Lonchura striata: one gene and its partner. The protein of the gene in region 1 purifies or fractionates together with the protein of each later gene. This does not show direct contact. Links are inferred from orthologs where the notes say so. Each region holds a gene or a part of one and is shown in the gene's direction. Other genes may lie near its edges.

The links.
Region 2: the proteins of SYTL4 (region 1) and RAB3A purify together in Homo sapiens (affinity purification with mass spectrometry; 3 studies listed by BioGRID and IntAct, counting the BioPlex papers as one, with this or other methods). This does not show direct contact. The link is inferred for Lonchura striata from reciprocal best matches to the Homo sapiens genes SYTL4 and RAB3A.

The regions. Positions count from the first base shown.
Region 1 is NC_134616.1:895,376-905,602, forward strand, and holds the start of SYTL4 (synaptotagmin-like protein 4), read left to right. Parts: upstream 1-6,444; 5' UTR 6,445-6,483; intron 6,484-7,241; 5' UTR 7,242-7,279; coding exon 7,280-7,389; intron 7,390-7,528; coding exon 7,529-7,744; intron 7,745-8,249; coding exon 8,250-8,359; intron 8,360-8,517; coding exon 8,518-8,632; intron 8,633-8,792; coding exon 8,793-8,900; intron 8,901-9,151; coding exon 9,152-9,266; intron 9,267-9,372; coding exon 9,373-9,463; intron 9,464-9,622; coding exon 9,623-9,726; intron 9,727-9,818; coding exon 9,819-9,905; intron 9,906-10,168; coding exon 10,169-10,227. Other genes in the region: CSTF2 (cleavage stimulation factor subunit 2), read right to left, coding at 1-83, 191-327, 785-954, 1,749-1,827, 1,953-2,010. UniProt on the Homo sapiens protein: Modulates exocytosis of dense-core granules and secretion of hormones in the pancreas and the pituitary. Interacts with vesicles containing negatively charged phospholipids in a Ca(2+)-independent manner.
Region 2 is NC_134630.1:6,990,343-6,999,664, reverse strand, and holds the start of RAB3A (ras-related protein Rab-3A), read left to right. Parts: upstream 1-5,002; 5' UTR 5,003-5,024; coding exon 5,025-5,138; intron 5,139-6,577; coding exon 6,578-6,805; intron 6,806-7,715; coding exon 7,716-7,834; intron 7,835-7,912; coding exon 7,913-8,037; intron 8,038-8,356; coding exon 8,357-8,547; 3' UTR 8,548-9,322. Other genes in the region: PDE4C (3',5'-cyclic-AMP phosphodiesterase 4C), read left to right, coding at 1-67, 493-671, 758-856, 931-1,095, 1,179-1,278, 1,361-1,515, 1,598-1,720, 1,886-2,068 and 1 more. UniProt on the Homo sapiens protein: The small GTPases Rab are key regulators of intracellular membrane trafficking, from the formation of transport vesicles to their fusion with membranes.

The DNA.
Region 1 (10,227 bases):
TGGGCCTGCAGCAGTGCATAAGCCAGCTGGGGGTTCTGCAGCAGCATGTTCCTGGCTTCCTGGGGGCTGTTCTGGACACACAGCTGGGAAGACAGGCACTGATCAGAGCTCTGACAAGCTGTGACATGGCTGGGAGGGTGCAGGCAGTGGCGGGAGGAGCTGTGCTCACACAGGGAGCACCTGCACTTACCTTCATCTGCTTCATCAGCTCAAACATCTGCTCGGGTGGCAGGCTGGCCACTGCCCGGCTGATGGACTCGGGGGCATCCTCTGGGTTGACAGGGTCCCCATAGGGTGACTCTATGATGGGTGCACCTGTGCCCAAGCCTGCAACACAGTTGGTGACTTGGTACTGCAACACGAACAGCGCATGGAACAGGCTCCGCAGGAGGGGAGCACGGGGGAAAGGGAGCCAGCAAAACCAGGGAGACCTTAGGAGGAATCTGTTCCCAGAAGGGGTGATTAGGCATTGGAGCAGGCTGCTCAGGGAGGTTGTGGAGTCACTGTTCCTGGAAGCGTTTAAGTAAAGACTGGATGTGGCATTTAGTGCTCCAGTCTAGCTGATGCCGTGTGTTTGGTCAAAGGTTGGACCGTGATCTTTACAAACCTTTTCCAACCTAAGTAATTCTGTGGTTCTGTGATCATCTTGGAGTGAAACACCAGAGCTGAGCCCATGCATCCCTCTGGGGAACTACCCGCAACACCTCTGAGAGCAGGTCAGCTCTGCCAGCCTGGCACAAGAGACACAGCCCGGCCCAAGGCAGACCCCAAAAGGCCGACTCACTCTTGAGCTCCTCCTTGTTCTTCTCGCTGGCGGCGTTGTCGACGCGCAGCGCCCTGCCGCTGAACTCGCGCCCGTTGAGGTTGCGCATGGCGCTGAGCGCCGTCTCCTGGTCCTGGTACTCGCAGAAGCCATAGCCCTTGGGCTTGCCCGTCTCCCTGTCGTACACCAGCCTGGCAGAGAAGAAAGCAACACTGCTGAGGGCACTGCGGGCAGCCCGCGGTGCCTGCCGCTCCGGGGCACACGGGGAGGTCAGCCCAAGGCACGCAGCAGTCGGGCCCACGCCAAAGCCAAAGGGCTGCTGGCTCCTGGCACGATTGGTCCCGAAGCTGCGGTGGGCAGTGCCAGCTGTGTGCCTGCCATGACCCCTAGGATGGGACTGGCTGCTCCCAGAACTATTAAAACCTGAACTGACAGCTCTCCAGAGCCTGGTGCACTGTGGGGGCACAGGGATGGCAGTGTGGAGCACAGAGCCTGACCGGCACCTGAGCACTTATCAGGCACAGCAGGGCAGCTCCTCCAGCCCAGAGCTGCATGCCCACAGCCACCTGCTGTACCCGGGGCACTGTGCTCCATCTACAGGTGACCCTGGCACAGCCACCGCGTCCCTCTGCCCCGAGCACATCTGGCACAGCCTCACAACCCCCGCAGCTGCTGCTCTCTGTGAGGAAACGGCCTGGAGGGGCCCGAGGTTTAGACGGGACATCAGGTGAAGTTCCCTCGCCAAAGCGGTTGTCAAGCAGCAGAACGGGCAGTGGCCGAGTCACCGTCCCGCGGGTGGCCAGAAGCGGGGTGCATGTGGCACCTGGGGGCACGGTGGGCTGGCAGCGCTGAGGGAGCGGTGGGGCTGGGTGGCTTTAGGGGCCTTTCCCAGCGTTAAGGATTCCCGATCCCACGGCTCCAAGGCCGGCGCCGCGGAGCCCGCGGGGCTCGGTCCGCGCCGAGCACGGGGACCGGGCGCTCTCACCTGAAGCTGACCACGGGCCCAACCTCCGAGAAGATGTCCTTCAGCTGCTCCTCCGTGGCCTCATAGGGGATGTTCCCCACTGCGGAGACAGACGGTGCCGCCGGTCAGCGCGGCGGGTACCGGCCCCGACGGCGAGGGGCAAAACCCGCCGGCCCCCGCCTGCCCTGCCCGTCCGTGCCCGTTTCCCCGTGCAGGCGGCCTCACCGAACACGGAGCGCAGGGAGCGATCCACGGCGGGGTCCCGCACCGACAGCCCCGCCATCGCGCCGCCCGCGCCGCTTCCGGTCCGCACCGACCGCGCTTCCGCTTCCACGGCGGCGCCGCTGCCAAAGCGCTCCGGCGGGAAACCGGCGCCGCCGGCCGCGGGCTGCGTGCCGGCACTGCCCGGGACTGCGAACGGGATTGCCCGGGACCGGGAACGGGACTGCCCGGCACCGGGAACGGGACTGCCCGGGACCGCGAACGGACTGCCCGGGACGCGAACGGGACTGCCCGGGACTGCGAACGGACTGCCCGGGACGCGAACGGGCTGCCGCGGCCTCGGGGATCGCCGGCACCGGGAGCGGCCTCGGGGATTCCCTCGGCCTCAGGGATGCCGCTCGGGCACAGCCCCCGCCGGGCCTGACCCCGCTCGGGGCTCGGCAGGATGGCAGCCGCGGAGGTGCCCGCGCTGGCCACGGAGCGCAGGTTCGCCCAGCGCCTCAGGTGAGGCCCGGGGCAGCGAGGGCAGCGGGGCCTGTGCTCCGGCACGATGGGGGCAGCGGTCCCCGTGCTGTCCGGGGCCAGCCGCGGGCTCTGAAGGGCCTCTCCCCGCAGGGAATGCCTGGAAGAGGAGCGGCTCCTGGACGGGCGCTACCGGCTGCAGCGGCTGCCGGGCGGCCGCGTGGCCGTGCCCGTGCTGGAGGAGAAGCTGTCGCAGCTCTGCCTGCCCGCGGAGATGCCCTGTGAGCTGCTCCGGATCCAGGTTGGCACAGCCGGCCGGCTGCGAGCCCCGGGCGCTGTCTGAGCCCCGGGCCCCCGCGGCACGGCCCTGCCGCAGGATGCTGTCCCCTCCAGGGCCGCCCGCCGCCGCCCGCCGGCCCGCAGGCTGCTCCAGGAGCTGCGGCGGCTGCTGCCCGCCGGCTGGCCCGCCGAGCTGGAGCGGGACCTGCCGCACGCCTGGCAGCGCCACGGCGACCTGGTGCTGCTCAGCGAGGACAGCTTCAGCCACCCGGCCTGGGAGCGCCTGGGTAAGCGCTGGGACACGGGTGAAAAATCCAACCCTACAATGCTAACAAAGATTCGTAGGCAACGGTGTGTTTATTCACAGTGTTGTGGATGCCCTTTAATGGACATGCACACTTCTGAAAACTCTTATCTTTTTCTATTATCATGACTAATTTCTAGTCAGGGTAATAAAAATTATTATGAAAATTCTAGTCGAGGTAATTTCCTGCATGCATAGAATTTTACAATAGGTTCATGCATATTCATTCTGCTGATTTTGTGTTATATTTACAGTTAGTTACACTTCTACTTAGTTTTTGTTAGAAGGTATAGAAAACTTTTGGGTTACTCTGCTTTTTAAATCTGAGGAGTTTTTCTTATCTCTTCTTTAGTTAAGACAACTTTGCTAGTGCTGTAGTTACTAGACTAAATAACATATTTCACTTAAGTTAGTAAGCTCAAAGGAGTGCATTTTACTTAAATCTAAACGAATTTCTGCTCTGTTAAATTTTTACTGTGTCTCACTGCCCGCGCCTCCCGGGGTGCTGTGTTGCAGGCCCGGAGCTCTGGGAGACGGTGGCCTCGGCTCTGGGGGCCCGGCGGGTGGCCAGGCGAGGACGGGTGATGCCGGACGGGATGCGGACCCCCAGCGTCACCCTGCTGCTGGGCCAGCACGGCTGGGTGGAGCGCGTGGACAACGGCATCAGGTGGGCAGGAGATGCAGGATGCGGCTTCTGGGGAAGGGGCTGCCCTCACCATCTGGGCCGGGTCTTCCAGGTACACCTTCGATGTGACCAAGTGCATGTTCTCCCCGGGCAACATCACGGAGAAGCTGCGTGTGGCCTCACTGCCCTGCTCCGGGGAGGTCGTAGTGGATCTCTATGCAGGTAATGGGGACGGAGGAGGAGCAGGACAGGTGCTGATGGCATCCAGGTAGACAGGAAATGTCATTTCCAGCTTGGAATGAAAAATACTCAGGCTTAGAGCTCCTATCTTGTCTGTGAGGCCTTCAGCTACACTGGCACTGCTGTCCTGCCTGTGTCCCTGCAGCCTCTGGACACTTAAGATGTCCTGTTCTCAGGCTCTGTGCCTTGTGCTGGTTTGGGGAATCACTTTGATCCAGGGTAAAGATTTGCCACTGTTTGTGCTTAAGGAAGTTAGTGCTTCCAATTTGTGCCACACTGAAAGGACAATGCCACCCACAAAACTCCTGTGGATTAATCAAAAGAAATGGTAATCTGGACACTTCTGCAGAGCCAGACAGATCTCAGCCTGGTGGCCAAAGACTGAAGGTTAAATAATCTCCTCTAAACATTTTTCAAGGCAAAATTTGCTTTTGCACAAGAGGGAGGGATAAATTCCCATTTTTCCAGTGTTTGGGCTTTTTCCAACCCAGAGCAAAGCCGAGTTGGAGAGGCAGGGTGTCAGTGTGCATCCTGCCCTGCCCTCGGGGAGGAGTGTGGCTCTCTGGAGGTCCCTGTCCCCAGTCAGTGCCACCTCCTGCCTGCAGGCATCGGCTATTTCACGCTGCCGTTCCTGGTGCACGCGGGAGCCGCCTTTGTCCATGCCTGTGAGTGGAACAGCCACGCCGTGGAGGCCCTGCACAGGAGCCTGGTGCTGAACGGGGTGCGGGACCGCTGCCGCATCCACGGCGGGGACAGCCGGCAGGTGAGCGCTGCCGCCGGCCGCGGGAGCCCTTCCCGCGGGCATCCCCTCACCTCCGCTCTCCTCCCAGCTGCAGCTGCGCGATGTGGCGGACAGGGTGAACCTGGGGCTGCTTCCCAGCTCGGAGGAAGGCTGGCCGGTGGCCTGCCGCGTCCTGAAGAAGGACACGGGCGGGGTTCTGCACATCCACCAGAACGTGGAGGCTCGCCCGGCGCACGCCGCGGTGCTGCTGGCTGAGCGGGGCTCCGCAGAGGCAGCCAGCTCCGCGGGAGAGGCGTGGCACCCGGTGGAGCACAGTGAGCAGGAGGCACTGGGGGCCAGGCTCAGACCCGAGTGGCAGCGGTGGGCTGCAGCCACGGCCGCACGGATCCAGGGGCTGCTGGCAGAGCTGCACGGGCGGCCGTGGTGCTGCAGCATCCTGCACATCGAGGCAGTGAAGTCCTACGCACCACACGTGCATCACCTCGTGCTGGACCTCGAGTGCCGGCCTGTGCTGCCCGTTTAGCGGGACATGGGCACCGCTGGGGCTCCAGATCCCTTGGAAGGCTGGTGTCAAAGCACGAGGGGCAGAGACATGCTGCCAGTGTGTCCTGCTGCCAGCCTGGATGTGCCTTATGTTCCCTAGTTCCCAGGTGGCAGCACTGCCCAGCAGTGCCTCCCTGTGCCAGGGCACCCAGGGTTGTGCTCCACACGGCAGATCCCTTCATGATCCAGACAAAGATGGAGCAAGCTGGAGTGCAGACTGCCAGTGTTCTGTCCTGGCTCTGCCAGCTGCTGCCCAGGTCTTGGACACGTGGTAGCACCTTGAGCCCCATTTTCACACAGGAGAGAGCCACAGTGCTGAGAAACCTTGGGTTCCTGCTGGGTTCATTTCGGCAAGTCAGGGACAAGCTTGGTGCTTGTATTTAGCAGCATGCTTTTTTAATGTACTTGAAGCAAGTCTGTTCATCCTGTTTCCTTCCTATCTTTTTTTCAGAAATAAAGATGTTTCTCACCACCTCTTGGTGTCCAGTCAAAACGTGAACTTTGGAGCAAGCATGGGGGTCTGGCCTGGGGACTTTGGGTCCCAGGGTGGTGTGCGGAGGGGCTCAGGGAGCAAAGCCTCTGTGGCATTGTCTTCCTGCAAGCCCAAAGCCCTCTGCATATTTATTGTGTACTCCCGATGGAGCGAACCCCTGCCGCACAAGGAAGTTCCCGCTGGCCCTTTGATGTCTCCGTGGTTTTTTCCACTATCAGTGTCCCATCACTTCCCACAGGGCTGGAAGCCTCCGGCTCTCCCATCCCTGGGGCGCGGCCGAAAGCGAGGGCAGAGCCGCGTCCTCTCGTTTGCCTTGGGGCTGCACGCAGGTGGCTCCGCGCTGTCCTGCGTGGCGAGCAGCCGCCTCCCCGCGGGTGGAGCCCCACGCCTCGGCCAGCCGCGAGTGCTCGGGCTCCCCGGTGCTGTGCTGCGGGGGGCAGGGACGAGGCGCCCTGCGGGGACGGTATCTCTGCCACGAAGGACAAGGGCAGGGCCGGAGCCTTGCGGCGGGAGGACGCCACGGCCGCGGCCCTGGGCTGCTCCGCGGGCACGCCGGGGAGTCCCCCGCAGTTCGGGTGTCGGTGCGCTCTCTGCTCGTCGGGAGAAGCCACCCACCCAGTCAGGGCCATGGGGCACCGGGGACACCGGCCCGCGGGGCTGGAGCCGCAGCTGTTCCGGGGCTGCTCGGGCGGGGAAGGGCTGGAGGGAGCGGGCACCGCCTCCCGCACGGGCCGCCCCGTCCGTGCCGCAGGTGCGGCCGCCGCGGCTCCTTTAAGGCACCGGCGCCGCCCTCCGCTGCCGCTGTCCCCTCCCGCTGCCGGGAGGCGCCGGCCGGAGCCGCTGCAGGTACCGGGACGGTCGTGGGATCGGGCGGGGGTACCGAGGGTTCCTCCGCGGACGGGGCAGGACGGGGGTCCCTCGGCTGCAGGGGAGTCGGGGGTAGCCAGGGGTCCCTCTGTGGTCCGGCGGTCCAGCCGCGGTGTCCCGGGCGGGGGCAGTTCCCAGCCCCGGTGGCCGCGCTGCGAACGCGGCGCTCCCGGCCCCGGATCCCACTTTTCCCGACAGAGAGGAGCCTGGGGTCCGCCCCGCCGCCCCCTCCTCCCCGAGGGCCGCCGGAGCGCGGCTGCGGGCACAGGAAGGTCCCTGCCGGTTCCGCCGGGCCGGGCGGGAGCGGGGAGCGGTGCAGCCCCCGAGCCAGCGCCGCGGCTCCGTCCCGGCTGGAGCGGCCGCGGCCGCCCGGCTCCTGGTGCCGCCGCCTGCGAGCCGGATCCGGCCGTGCCGCCCTGGTGCGTGTCCGCTCCCGGCGGCTCCTCGGGCTCGGGCAGCTCCGAGCCCCGCGGCGTTCGTGGGAGGGGCGGCCCGGGGCGGCTCCTTCCTGCCGGGGCTGCCCGCGGGTGCTGCGCGTCAGCCCGGTCCCACGGAGCCGGCTGAGGTCAGCGGGGCGGCGGGGCTGGCAGGCGGCCCGAGCCCAGCCCGGGGCAGGGCGGCGGAGGCGGCGGGCGGGCCGGTGTCCTGGGTGCCGCCAGCGCCGGGTCCAGCCCCGGCAGCGGGCACGGGGCACCTCGCGGGGCGCGACCCGCGCTCAGCAGCTGGCATGTCCCTAGCTGGCGTGCGCTGAGGGCCAGCCATCGCGGGCGCAGCGATGTCGGAGGCTGTGGACCTGTCCTTCCTGTCGGACGTGGAGAGAGATCTGATCCTGCAGGTCCTGCAGCGCGACGAGGAGCTCCGCAAGGCAGAGGAGAGGAGGATCAGGTGCGAACGCGGCTGGAGCTGGGCAGGAGCTGCCTCCCCGCTATGCTCTGGAGGCGGGTGGATGAGCGAGAGCGTGGGTGACGGGTGTCGCCGGGGTCCCGGGGCGCCTCTGACAGCTCCCGGTGTCGGCTCTGGGCAGGCGCCTGAAGAACGAGCTGCTGGAGATCCGGCGCAAGGGAGCCAAGCGGGGCAGCCAGCGCTACAGCGAGCGGACCTGCGCCCGCTGCCAGCAGAGCCTGGGCCGCGTCAGCCCCAAGGCCAACACCTGCCGGGGCTGCAACCACTTGGTGTGTCGGGACTGCCGTTCCTACAGCCCCGGCGGCTCCTGGCGCTGCAAAGTCTGCACCAAGGAGGCGTGAGTAGCCAGGACCAGTGGCAGGCACATTGTGCACATGCCTCCTTTCCCCTTCCTCCTCTCAGTTGCCTCAACTTGTTGCCCCATAGCCAGCCTTTCCTAGCCTGGCTGGTCCTCCCCAGTGCAGGGCAGCTTGCTCTGCTGTCACTCCTGTGTTTGGGTGATGGAAAAATGGGTCATACCCCTCTCTTGTGTCTCCTTCATGTCCTGCTCCTTCACCTGAACTAACTGCAGCATCCCCCTGTGCCCTTGCACAGCTGTGTTCCAAGCACCCCAGGCTTCCTCCCTTTTGGCTTCCTCTGTCCTACAAAACTTGCCTTGCTGCCGTGTTTGCTGAGGATGTAGCTGAGCCTGTCAACTGCCCGGTGAATGGTCCCTGCCCAGTCACCTGCTGATTTTGCCCACTGTGCCTGTGTTCTCGGGTTGTGGCAGCACCGAGGGTGGGTTGGGGCACAGCTGACAGTCCCTACTGCCCCTGACTGCCCCCACCACCCCTGCCCTGCAGTGAGCTGAAGAAGGCAACGGGTGACTGGTTCTATGACCAGAGGGTGAACCGCTTTGCCAACCACCTGGGCAGCGACATGGTGCGGCTGTCCCTGCGGCACAGGCCGGCAGGTAGGGGTGCCACAGCAAGGCCTTCTCCCACAGCCCAGCCACGTGGGATGCTCCAGCTTTCCCCAGTGCATCTCTGCCCAGTGTGGAGCTGGATGGGAGCAGCTCCTGCTCCAAGCAGTGAGCTTGGAGCAGTGCTCCTCATGATGCCTCTCTTGCAGCCAACAAAAGAGAGACTGTGGGATATACTCTCCTCCAGAAAGCCCAGCTCAGTGAGCCTAAAAGCTCCTCTGCAGTCCGGCAGCCGAGCCCCCCTGCACCCCGGGAGGGGTCCAGGTAGGAATCCCTGCTGTCCCCCGTGCTCCAGGCAGCAGCTCTCATCTGCTGCAGGTTTGAGAGGAAGCTCTGCCCTGTGCGGATCATCGGTGGTGCAGGAGCTCTCTCAGACCGACCTCCTCACCAAACAGGACATACCTGTGGTTTTGCTTGTCTGCAGTTTGTTTCCAGATGCCTCAGACCCTAGGGATGGCAAAAGCGACACAGAGTCCATGGAAAACATGAGCCTGGACAGCTACAAACCTAGTCCTGCTGATGTGGGCGGCAGGTGAGAGGATCCCAGGGGGGCTTGTCTTTGGCAAGACTGGCTGGCAGAGGATGGGACCTTCATCTGAAGTGTGTTTTTCTCAGTCTAGTAGGGGGAAGCTGGCTCCTCTGGCTGGGCTGAAGCCTGTCCCTGGGCAGGAAGATCCTCTGCTCCCAGGCTGCTACGGGCAGCTCAAGTGGCGCTTCCTGGCCAGCACTTGCTCTGCCAGCTGTGCTTGTGGTCTGGGACAGACCTTTCTGTGTTTGCCACAGGAGGAACTCCCTGGAGAGAGCCATCCCTGGAAAACAGGTTGTTGGGCCAGCAGGACCTGCTTCCTCCAGCCTGACCCTCCCTCTCCGCTCCAAGAACGCGTTCTCTGACGGGCGGGTGCGTGACGCTGCTCCGACAGGCTCAGCCCTGTCCTGGGGCGTGGGGCTGGCACCCCACAGGGCTCCTAGCCCTGCCCTGCTCTCAGGGGACTCTTCCTTCCCAGGATGCCACCGTGGGGACCCGCAGCAGCACCTTGGTGGATGAACATGAAATGATATTCCAGAAGAACCCCCGGCGGGTGGTGCGGCCTGCGGGTGAGAGATGCTGACACGGCCAGGGGTGGGCAGCTCCTCCTCCCTGGGCTGGGAAGGGCTTTCAGTGCAGATGGGAGAGGCTGGGGCAGCCTCTTGTGCGAGGGAGCAGCGGGGCTCTGCTGGTCCTGCTCCGTGCGCTGTTCACCGCCTCTCGTGCAGACTACACCAAGTCCGTGATCGACCTGCGCCCCGAGGACCTTGTGGGGGAAGGTGGCTCTTTGGGGGACAGGAGCAAGTCAGTCCCTGGCCTCAACACGGAGCTGGTGAGACCCTCAGAGTGCCACGGCGATGGCTGCCAGCTGGAGGAGCCGCTGGCTGGCTGCTCCCCACACCGGCGGCTTCTCTGTCCTTGCAGGAGGAGGAGGAGGAGGACATCGATAACCTGGTGGAGATCCACCGGCAGCGGGTGGCGCGGGGCAGCATGCGCAGCGGCACCTCCTCGGTGAGTGCCCGCGGGGGCTGTGCTCTGCTCCGCTGCAGGGAGAGGAGCCTTGTGTGTGAGGGCTTCTCCCCTAAAAGGGATCAAAATGCAGAGAGCCAGCTCTCCTCCAGGCAGCTGTGTGCGGGAGGGAGGCACTTGTGGCCATCCCCAGCCACAGGGAGGTGAGGGGGGCCGTGCAGAAGAGGCACAGGGGTAACCTTGCTGAGGATGAGGAGGGACTGTCAGGTGATCCTGTGCCAGCTCAGCCCTGCCCTGTTTTCCAGAGCACACTGGGGAGCATGGTCAGCATTTACAGCGAGGCCGGCGACTTCGGCAGCGTGGC
Region 2 (9,322 bases), on another chromosome or scaffold:
ACGCACCTCTCGGAGACCAGCCGCTCCGGGAACCAGGTGTCCGAGTACATCTCCAGCACCTTCCTGGGTGAGCACCCCCCGCCCCGGGGTCACCTCCCCGCTGGCACCGGCGTGGCCTTTGTGTCCCCAGAGAGCTGGGCTGCCCGTGGGGGTGATGCCAGCGGAGGGTCCCGCTTGCTTCTTGTGGAGGGTTGGAGTGGGGGGGACCAGGGGGCTTGTCCCAGGTGTCCCAGTGGGATTTGTCCCACAGATGCCACAGCACGTGTCCCAGCTGGGAGTGCTGGCTCATACTGGTGTATACTGGTGTATACTGGTGCACTGGGGCTGTTGGGGCACCCCTGAAGGAGCGTCCAGGGGTCCCCTGGCAGATGTGTGGGCTGTGGATGGGGTAAAGTGCCGCAGCCCCCCAAATTGTCACGGCGTGACCCGGGGAGACGCCGGCGGTGACGTTCGGGCTCCTGCCCTGCTCACGGCCACCCCGTGTCACCCCAGACAAGCAGCACGAGGTGGAGATCCCCTCGGCCCTGGCGAAGGACAAGGAGAAGGAGCGGAGGAAGCGCCCCATGTCGCAGATCAGCGGCGTCAGGAAGCTCAAGCACGGCTCCAGCCTGGCCGCCGCCGGCATCCCCCGCTTCGGGGTGCGCACGGACCACGAGGCGCTGCTGGCCAAGGTGGGTCCTGGCAGGGGTGACCCCCACCCCGACCGCGGGGTCCCCAGCACCAGCCCCCCATGGATCTCTGTCCCTCTGCTCCCCAGGAGCTGGAGGACACCAACAAGTGGGGTCTGGACGTGTTCAAAGTCGCCGAGTACTCGGGGAACCGCCCGCTGACCGTCATCATGTACAGCATCTTCCAGGTGAGCGTCCCACCGCGGTGTCCCCGGCCCTGGTGTGGCCGGACGGGGACGAGCCACCTCCTGCCTGCCCGCAGGAGCGTGACCTGATGAAGACCTTCCGCATCCCCGTCAACACCTTCATCACCTACATGCTGACGCTGGAGGACCACTACCACGCCGACGTGGCCTACCACAACAGCCTGCACGCCGCCGACGTGGCGCAGTCCACGCACGTCCTGCTCTCCACGCCCGCGCTGGAGGTGATTCCTGCTCACCCCAGGCCACCCGGGCGTGCCTGGCGGGGCCGTAACGTGTCCCCAACGCCTCTTCCCGCCGTTCCTAGGCTGTCTTCACGGACCTGGAGATCATGGCTGCCATCTTTGCCAGCGCCATCCATGATGTCGACCACCCCGGGGTCTCCAACCAGTTCCTCATCAACACCAGTGAGACGGGGCGCAGGGATGGACCTGGGGGATATTGGGGGACCCCAGGAGTCACCCCGGGGTGACCAGTGCCGTCTCACAGACTCGGAACTGGCCCTGATGTACAACGACGCCTCGGTGCTGGAGAACCACCACCTGGCCGTGGGCTTTAAGCTCCTCCAGGAGGAGAACTGCGACATCTTCCAGAACCTGAGCAGGAAGCAGAGGCAGACGCTCCGGAAAATGGTCATCGACATGGTATGGGGGGGCCAGAGCACCCCAGGGTGGGGTCTGCGCTGGGGGGTCAGGCTGAGACCCGTTCCCACCTCTCCCTGCCCAGGTGTTGGCCACGGACATGTCCAAGCACATGAACCTGCTGGCGGATCTGAAGACCATGGTGGAGACCAAGAAGGTGACCAGCCTGGGGGTGCTGCTGCTGGACAACTACTCTGACCGGATCCAGGTGGGGACGCGCCTGGGGAATCCTTCCCAGCGCCGCAGGTGTCCATCCTCGCTCTGGCCTGCTGGGATTTGGTGCCACCGCCACCCCAAACCCAACCGGCGGGGCCAAGCGAGCTCGTGGCATGGTGTGGGTGGCCCTGGGGGACAGAGGACACGGCGTCCGCAGGTCCTGCAGAACATGGTGCACTGCGCCGACCTCAGCAACCCCACCAAGCCCCTGGAGCTGTACCGGCAGTGGACTGACCGCATCATGGTGGAGTTCTTCCACCAAGGAGACCGGGAGCGGGAGAAGGGCATGGAGATCAGCCCCATGTGTGACAAGCACACCGCCTCCGTGGAGAAGTCCCAGGTGGGGCGGCAGCCTGGGGGACGGGGCAGGGGGACGCAGGGCCGGGCGGGGGGCTCAGCTCTGCGTCCCCCCAGGTGGGATTCATCGACTTCATCGCCCACCCGCTGTGGGAGACGTGGGCCGACCTGGTGCACCCCGACGCCCAGGAGCTGCTGGACACGCTGGAGGACAACCGGCAGTGGTACCAGAGCATGATCCCGCGCAGCCCCTCACCTCCACCCGAGCCGCCCGCGCCGTCCCCTGCCAGCACCGACAAGTTCCAGGTCGAGCTGACGCTGGAGGAGGAGGAGGAGGAGGAGGGTGAGTCGGACACGGAGCTGGAGGGCGCCGAGAGCCCCTTGGATGAGGACAACAGCGGCTCCAAGACACCGGGCACGGATGACTCGGAGCCTGCCCACGCCAAGCGCCTGTCCCCCGGCCCCGGCGACCGGGACTCGCCTGTCCCCCGCCCCAGGGACGTGGACAACCGGCAGGCGCTGCAGGGGACGCTGCCCAAGGACGGTGGCAGCGGGTGCTCGGTGCCAGGGCCCGCGGGCAGCCAGGGGCTGTGCCTGGACACAGAGGGCAACGTCACATTCCTGTCCCTGGGCACGTAGCGCCACCGGCCCGGGGGTCCCCTGGCTGCCGGGGGGACGTGGGACTGGGCACGGCCCTGGGGACAGCGGGGAGCTGGCACTGGGCAGCACTGGCACTGCAGGAGCTCGGTTTACCTGGGACGCTTCCCCATTCAGGACCTGCACAGGTCCTGGCAGGTAGGAGGACGCTGCTGGTCTCCCCGGGCAAGGGCCCTGTCCCCTTCAGCCGGGGCGTGGGGACACCCCAGCCCTGGGGACATCACGGCCCAGGGGCTGCAGCAAGGAGCATTCCAGCGCCTTTCCGGGTGTCCCCTTGCAGGAGGGCAGCCCCGTGGTGGGACGAGGTGGGCAGAGGGTGCTGGCGACACCCCCAGCACCAGGCACCGGCGCACGGCACGGGCACGGCTCAGAGCTTTATTTATTTGGGGATGGGTTCACTTTTTAAAGCCTTTTGTAGCTCACTTTTTACTACGGGCCTCCCCGAGGCACGCACGCATTTTTTGGGGGGCGGAAAGATGCAATTTTTTCGGGGAGGAAACTTGCATTTCTGCTCTGCGATCGCTCCAAATGCCATTTGCATTTCACATTTGGGACCTTGGCGGGCGCTGTCACCAACCCCCTCACCTCCATCTCCGCTGTCCTGCCTGGGGCAGGGTCCTTTGGGATTCTTCTTCACCTCCCAGAGATTAAACCCGGTTTGTTCCACCCTAAACACGAGCCTCGTAAGCGCCTCTTTGTGTCACGGGAGCCGCAGCCGATGTCCCCAGGGAGCGCAGCGGTGGTTGGTGGCACCGGGCAGGGCCAGGCTCGGTGCTGGAACAAAATCCAGCTCCTCCCTGGAAACGCCGATCCATCACCGGCAAACACGACCTGCTAAGGTAAATATTTAATCGCCGGCTTGGCGCGGTGCGGAGCCCGTTCCCGGCTCTTCCGCGTTGCTCCCCACGCTGATTTATCTCCACAAACACGTCCCCACCCACGGCGCTGCCCTGGCACCTGGGGCCCTCGCCCCCTGCCCGCCCTGGCAGCAGCGGGGCCTCGGGAGCTGCCGGTTCTTCCCCAGCCCAAACCTCCTGCAGGGCCCTGCACGGCGTGGCCGTGGCTCCGGGCCAGCCCTGCTGGGTGCTGGGGTCCCCTTGTCTCTCCAGAGGCTCTCCAATTCCCCGAATCCAGAGCCAGCCCGGACTCTGCCAGGCTGGAGCGGGGCAGCTGGAAAAAGCCCTTTTTTCCCCCATTTCTGGCTGAGGGGCTGTTGGCTGGGGAAGGTGATGGAAAATGGCCACAGCAGCCTGGCTCCATCCCTAATTCTGGAACCATCCCTAATTCTGGATCCATCCCTGAGCCTGGATCCATCCCTGAGACTGGATCCATCCCTGAGCCTGGATCCATCCCTAATTCTGGCTCCATCCCACAGCTGGCTCCATCCCACAGCTGGATCCATCCCTAATTCTGGATCTGTCCTATAGCTGGACCCATCCCTAATTCTGGCTCCATCCTACAGCTGGTTCTATCCCTAATTCTGGCTCCATCCTACAGCTGGATCCACCACTAATACTGGATCCATCCCTAATTCTGGATCTGTCCTAAAGCTGGACCCTCCCCAATTCTGGATCCATCCCTGAGTCTGGATCCATCCCTAATTCTGGATCCATCCCTGATTCTGGCTGCATCCTACAGCTGGCTCCATCCCTAATTCTGGCTCCATCCCTAATTCTGGCTCCATCCCCAATTCTGGCTCCATCCCCAATTCTGGCTCCATCCCTGATTCTGGCTCCATCCCCGTGTCCAGCTCGGTGCCCCCGGGGCCGGGGGTGTGGGATGAGCCGGGGCAGGAGGCAGGAGCGGCAGCGGGAGGGAAGGCACGGGGCCGGGCCGGGCCGGGCGGAGCCGTGCGGTGCCCGGAGGCTCCGGGCAGGACCGGGAGGCTCCGGGCCGGGCCGGGCGGTGCCGTGCCCCGGGGCCGCCATATGCTGCCGGCCCTAATCCCGCCGGAGCCTCAGGGCGGCGGAGGACATGGCCGCCCACCTGCGCACCGGCCCCGCCTCAGTGCCAGCCGCCCCGCCACGGCACGGATCGGCCTGCCCGCCACCGCCGGCCTCGGGGAAGGCGTCGCGATAGGCGCCATGTCGCGACAGGGAGGCTGTCAAAACTCGCCCCCCCCCTTTTGGGCGGGAATGGTTCGCCCCGCACCCCCGCCGGCGCAGGGGTGGTTCATCCCGCGGCCCGCGCAGCGCGGCCGGACCGCACCACTGCGCGCTGCCGGAGGGGGGGGGCGGCGCCCACCACCGCGCCGGGAGGGGGGGGTCTCCTCCCCCGCGTCCGCCCGCCGTCCATCAAAGCGCGCCGCCGAGCCAATCAGCGCCTCCCTCAGGGGCGCGCCCATGACGTGCGAGCTGATTTACATAAGAGGGCCCCGCCCCTCTGCCGACGTCACCCGCGCTCCGCATCTGCTGCAGTCGCTGCGGGGAGGAGGCGGCGGCGCGAGCGCGGCAGAGGTGAGACCCCCCCCCCCCACCCCCAACCGGGACCCCACCCCACCACCCCTCAAACCGGGACCCCCCCCCCCCGAGACCCCCCCGAGCCCCCTCCGTGACCCCCCGGTACGGGCGGGGAGGGGCGGCTGCAGTGGAGGAGGGGGGGGTGATGATGATGATGATGATGATGATGATGGTGGATGCGGCGCGGGGGGGGGCTGCGCAGGGCCTGGGGGGGGGTCTCGGTGCGGCGGGGACCGAGTGGGTGCAGCGGGATCGGGCCTGCGGGGAGGAGCAGGGGGTGACCCCCCCCTCCCCATCAGCCCCGTGTGAACGTCGTGTCAGCACCCTGAGCCCCGCTGTGAGCACCCTGACCCCCCCATCAGCACCCTGACCCCCCTTATTAGCACCTCGACCCCCCTTATCAGCACCCTGACCCCCGCTATGAGCACCCTGACCCCCGCTATGAGCATCCTGACCCCCCTTATCAGCACCTCGACCCTCCCTTATCAGCACCCTGACCCCCCCTGTGAGCACCCTAGCCCCGCTATGAGCACCAGGACCCCCCCATCAGCACCCTGACCCCCCCTTATCAACACCTTGACCCCCCTTATCAGCACCCTAGCCCCCCTCCTTGCAGTACTCTGCCCCCCCACCCCTCAATCAGCACCCTGTGCACCCCCCATCACCATCCTGAACCCCTCCCTTGCATCACTGCACCCCCTCCCAAAACATCAGCACCCCAAAACCCCCATCAGCACCCCAAAGCCCTCATCAGCACCACGCGCACCCCGCATCCCCTCTGCCCAGCATCCCTGTGCTCCACCCTGGGCAAGCCGGGCTCTGTGCCCCCTTGCCTGGCATCGCCCTCCCCACGGTGCCCGGTGCCACCCCCGGCTCCTGGTGCCACCCCCGGTGCCCGGTGCCACCCCCGGTGCCCGGTGCCACCCCCGGCTCGCAACCGCGCTGGCCACGCCGTGCGGGGGCTCCGCCGCCGGTGCCATTTTGTCACCGGGAAGATGCGGGAGAGGCTGCGGCGCCCCGGCCGCACCCGCAACGCCACGGCAACATCACGGCAGATCCCAGGAGCCGCGGCAGATCCCAGGAACTGCAGCAGATCCTGGTGGCCGTGGCAGATCCCAGCAGCCGTGGCAAATTCCCGGCAGCCGCGGCAGATCCCGGCAGCCGTGGCAGATCCCGGCAGCCGTGGCAGATCCTGGAATCCACAGCAGATCTCTGGGGCCGTGGCAAACCCCGCGGGCCGCGTGCCCCACATCTGCTGTGGACACGCCGCGGTTCCTGCTCAGGGGGTGACGGTGACGGGAGGTGACCTCTGCCAGCCCCTCGGGGCCGAGTGACCCGTCGCTGGCCACGCCGTCGCCCATCCCGAACCAAAATCTCCCCGAAGCGATGCCTGGCACCGCCGCCGGCGCCGTCACGGCCTCTCCTCCACCTTGCAGATGGCGTCCGCTACCGACTCCCGCTACGGGCAGAAGGAATCCTCGGACCAGAACTTCGATTACATGTTCAAGATCCTGATCATCGGCAACAGCAGCGTGGGGAAAACCTCCTTCCTGTTCCGGTACGCCGACGACTCCTTCACGCCCGCCTTCGTCAGCACCGTCGGCATCGACTTCAAGGTCAAGACCATCTACCGGAACGACAAACGCATCAAGCTGCAGATCTGGGTGAGGGGAGAGCCTGGGCGTGCCCCTGGAGCCCTGGGGTGGGGTGGGGTGGTGGATGGTGGGGGTGGTGGTCAGTGTGGGGTGTGGTCAGTGTGGGGTGGTGGTCAGTGAGGGTGGTGGTGTGGGGACTGACGGTCACTGTGGGCTGACGGTCACTCTGGGATTATAGTGACAGTCACTTTGGGGTGATGGTCACGGTCACTGTGGGGTGATGGTCACTCTGGGGTGGTGGTCACAGTCACTCTGGGCTGATGGTCACTGTGGGGTGATGGTCACTGTGAGGTGATGGTCACAGTCATTCTGGGCTGATGGTCACTCTGGGGTGACGGTCACGGTCATTCTGGGCTGATGGTCACTCTGGGCTGACAGTCACCCTGGGCTGATGGTCACTCCGGGGTGATGCTTGCCTGGGTGATGATGGTCACTGTGCTGATGGTCACTCTGGGGTGACGGTCACTCCGGGGTGATGGTCACGGTCACCCTGGGCTGATGGTCACCCTGGGCTGATAGTCACCCTGGGCTGATGGTCACTCTGGGCTGATGGTCACTCTGGGCTGACGGTCACCCTGGGCTGACGGTCACCCTGGGCTGATGATCACTCTGGGCTGATGGTCACCCTGGGCTGACGGTCACCCTGGGCTGATGGTCACCCTGGGCTGATGATCACTCTGGGCTGATGGTCACCCTGGGCTGACGGTCACCCTGGGCTGATGGTCACCCTGGGCTGATGGTCACCCTGGGCTGACGGTCACCCTGGGCTGATGCTCGCCTGGGTGATGATGGTCACTGTGGAGCTGCCCCACCAGGGCGATTCCAGGGTGGGTTTGGATCTGCCCCCATGGAGCCGCTGGCCCAGGGGGTGTCCCCACAGCGCGGGGGTGACGCTCTGCTGTCCCCTGTGCCCGGGCAGGACACGGCCGGGCAGGAGCGGTACCGCACCATCACCACCGCCTACTACCGCGGCGCCATGGGCTTCATCCTCATGTACGACATCACCAACGAGGAGTCCTTCAACGCCGTGCAGGACTGGTGAGCACGGGGGGCTCTGGGCACCCCCGGCCGCCCCCTCCCCACGCCCCTGACCCACCTCGCCCTCCCTCCCCCAAGGTCCACCCAGATCAAGACCTACTCCTGGGACAACGCCCAGGTCCTGCTGGTGGGGAACAAGTGTGACATGGAGGATGAACGCGTGGTCTCCTCGGAGAAGGGCCGCCAGCTCGCCGAGCACCTGGGTGAGCTGGGGAGGGGGAACCTCCCACCGTGGCTGCCAGGCTTGCAATTAATTTAATTAAGGGCTTAATTCCCTTCGTGTAACCGCTGCGCTCCGACATCGGCGGTGAGAAACCACGGGGTCGCTGCACGCCTTGGACGCTCCGCCAGATGCTGGGGGGAGGATTTGGGGGGGTTCTTTGGGTGGGAAAAACGGGATTTTGTGGCTGGCGGGTCGCAAACCTTTTGAATATTGAAGGAGGAGGAGCAGCAGCCGCGCGGAGCCGGAGCTTTGATGCGTGTCCCTTGTCCCTCTGTCCCTCCCGCCCACCCCAAATCCAGGCTTTGAGTTTTTCGAGGCCAGCGCCAAGGACAACATCAACGTGAAGCAGACCTTCGAGCGGCTGGTGGACATCATCTGCGAGAAGATGTCGGAGTCGCTGGACACGGCCGACCCCGCCGTCACCGGCGCCAAGCAGGGCCCCCAGCTCACGGACCAGCAGGCCCCCCCCCACCAGGACTGTGCCTGCTAGGGGCCAGCCCCCCAAAAACCCCCCCAAAAAACCGGTCAGTGCACCCCAAACCCCACCCCGGCCCCGCCCCGAGCTCCTCCTCTTGGGGGTCCCGCGGGGGCTTTTGCTGCTGATACCTCCGAAAGGGCTGCGGCCCCTCTAGGAGCCCCCCACCCCAATTCATTAGGCTATGCCCCCCCCCACCCCTTAATTTATTTTTAAGCCTGGGCTGGTAGAAAACTCCCCCCCTGCCCCACCTCATTCTGCTTTGAATCACTGTCGAGAAACCATCACCCCCAGCCCCATCTCCCCTGGAGACCCCCACCCTGTCCTGGCACCCCCTGTCCTGGAGACCCCCCTGTCCTGGGACCCCTGTCCTGGGACCCCTGTCCGGGGACCCCCACCCCTTTTCCTGCTCTGGAACCCCCTGTCCTGGGGATCCCCCTGCCCTGGGCCCCTGTCCTGAGACCCCTGCCCTGGAGACCCCCCCCACCCCTTTTTCTGCTCTGGAATCCCCTGTCTTGGGACCCCCACCCCTTTTTCCTGGGCTGGGGTTTCCCCTGCCCTGGTCCCCCCCCTGCTCTGGAACCCACTGTCCTGGGGACCCCCCTACCCTTTTTCCAGCCCTGGGACCCCCTGTCCTGTTATTCCTGTCCTAGGACCCCCCCACCCCTTTTCCTGGTCTGGGACCCCTGTCCTGGGACCCCCCACCCCTTTTTCCTGTCCTGGGACCCCCTGCTCTGGTCCCCCCCATCTCTGGAACCCCCTGTCCTGGGGATCCCCCTACCCTGGGACC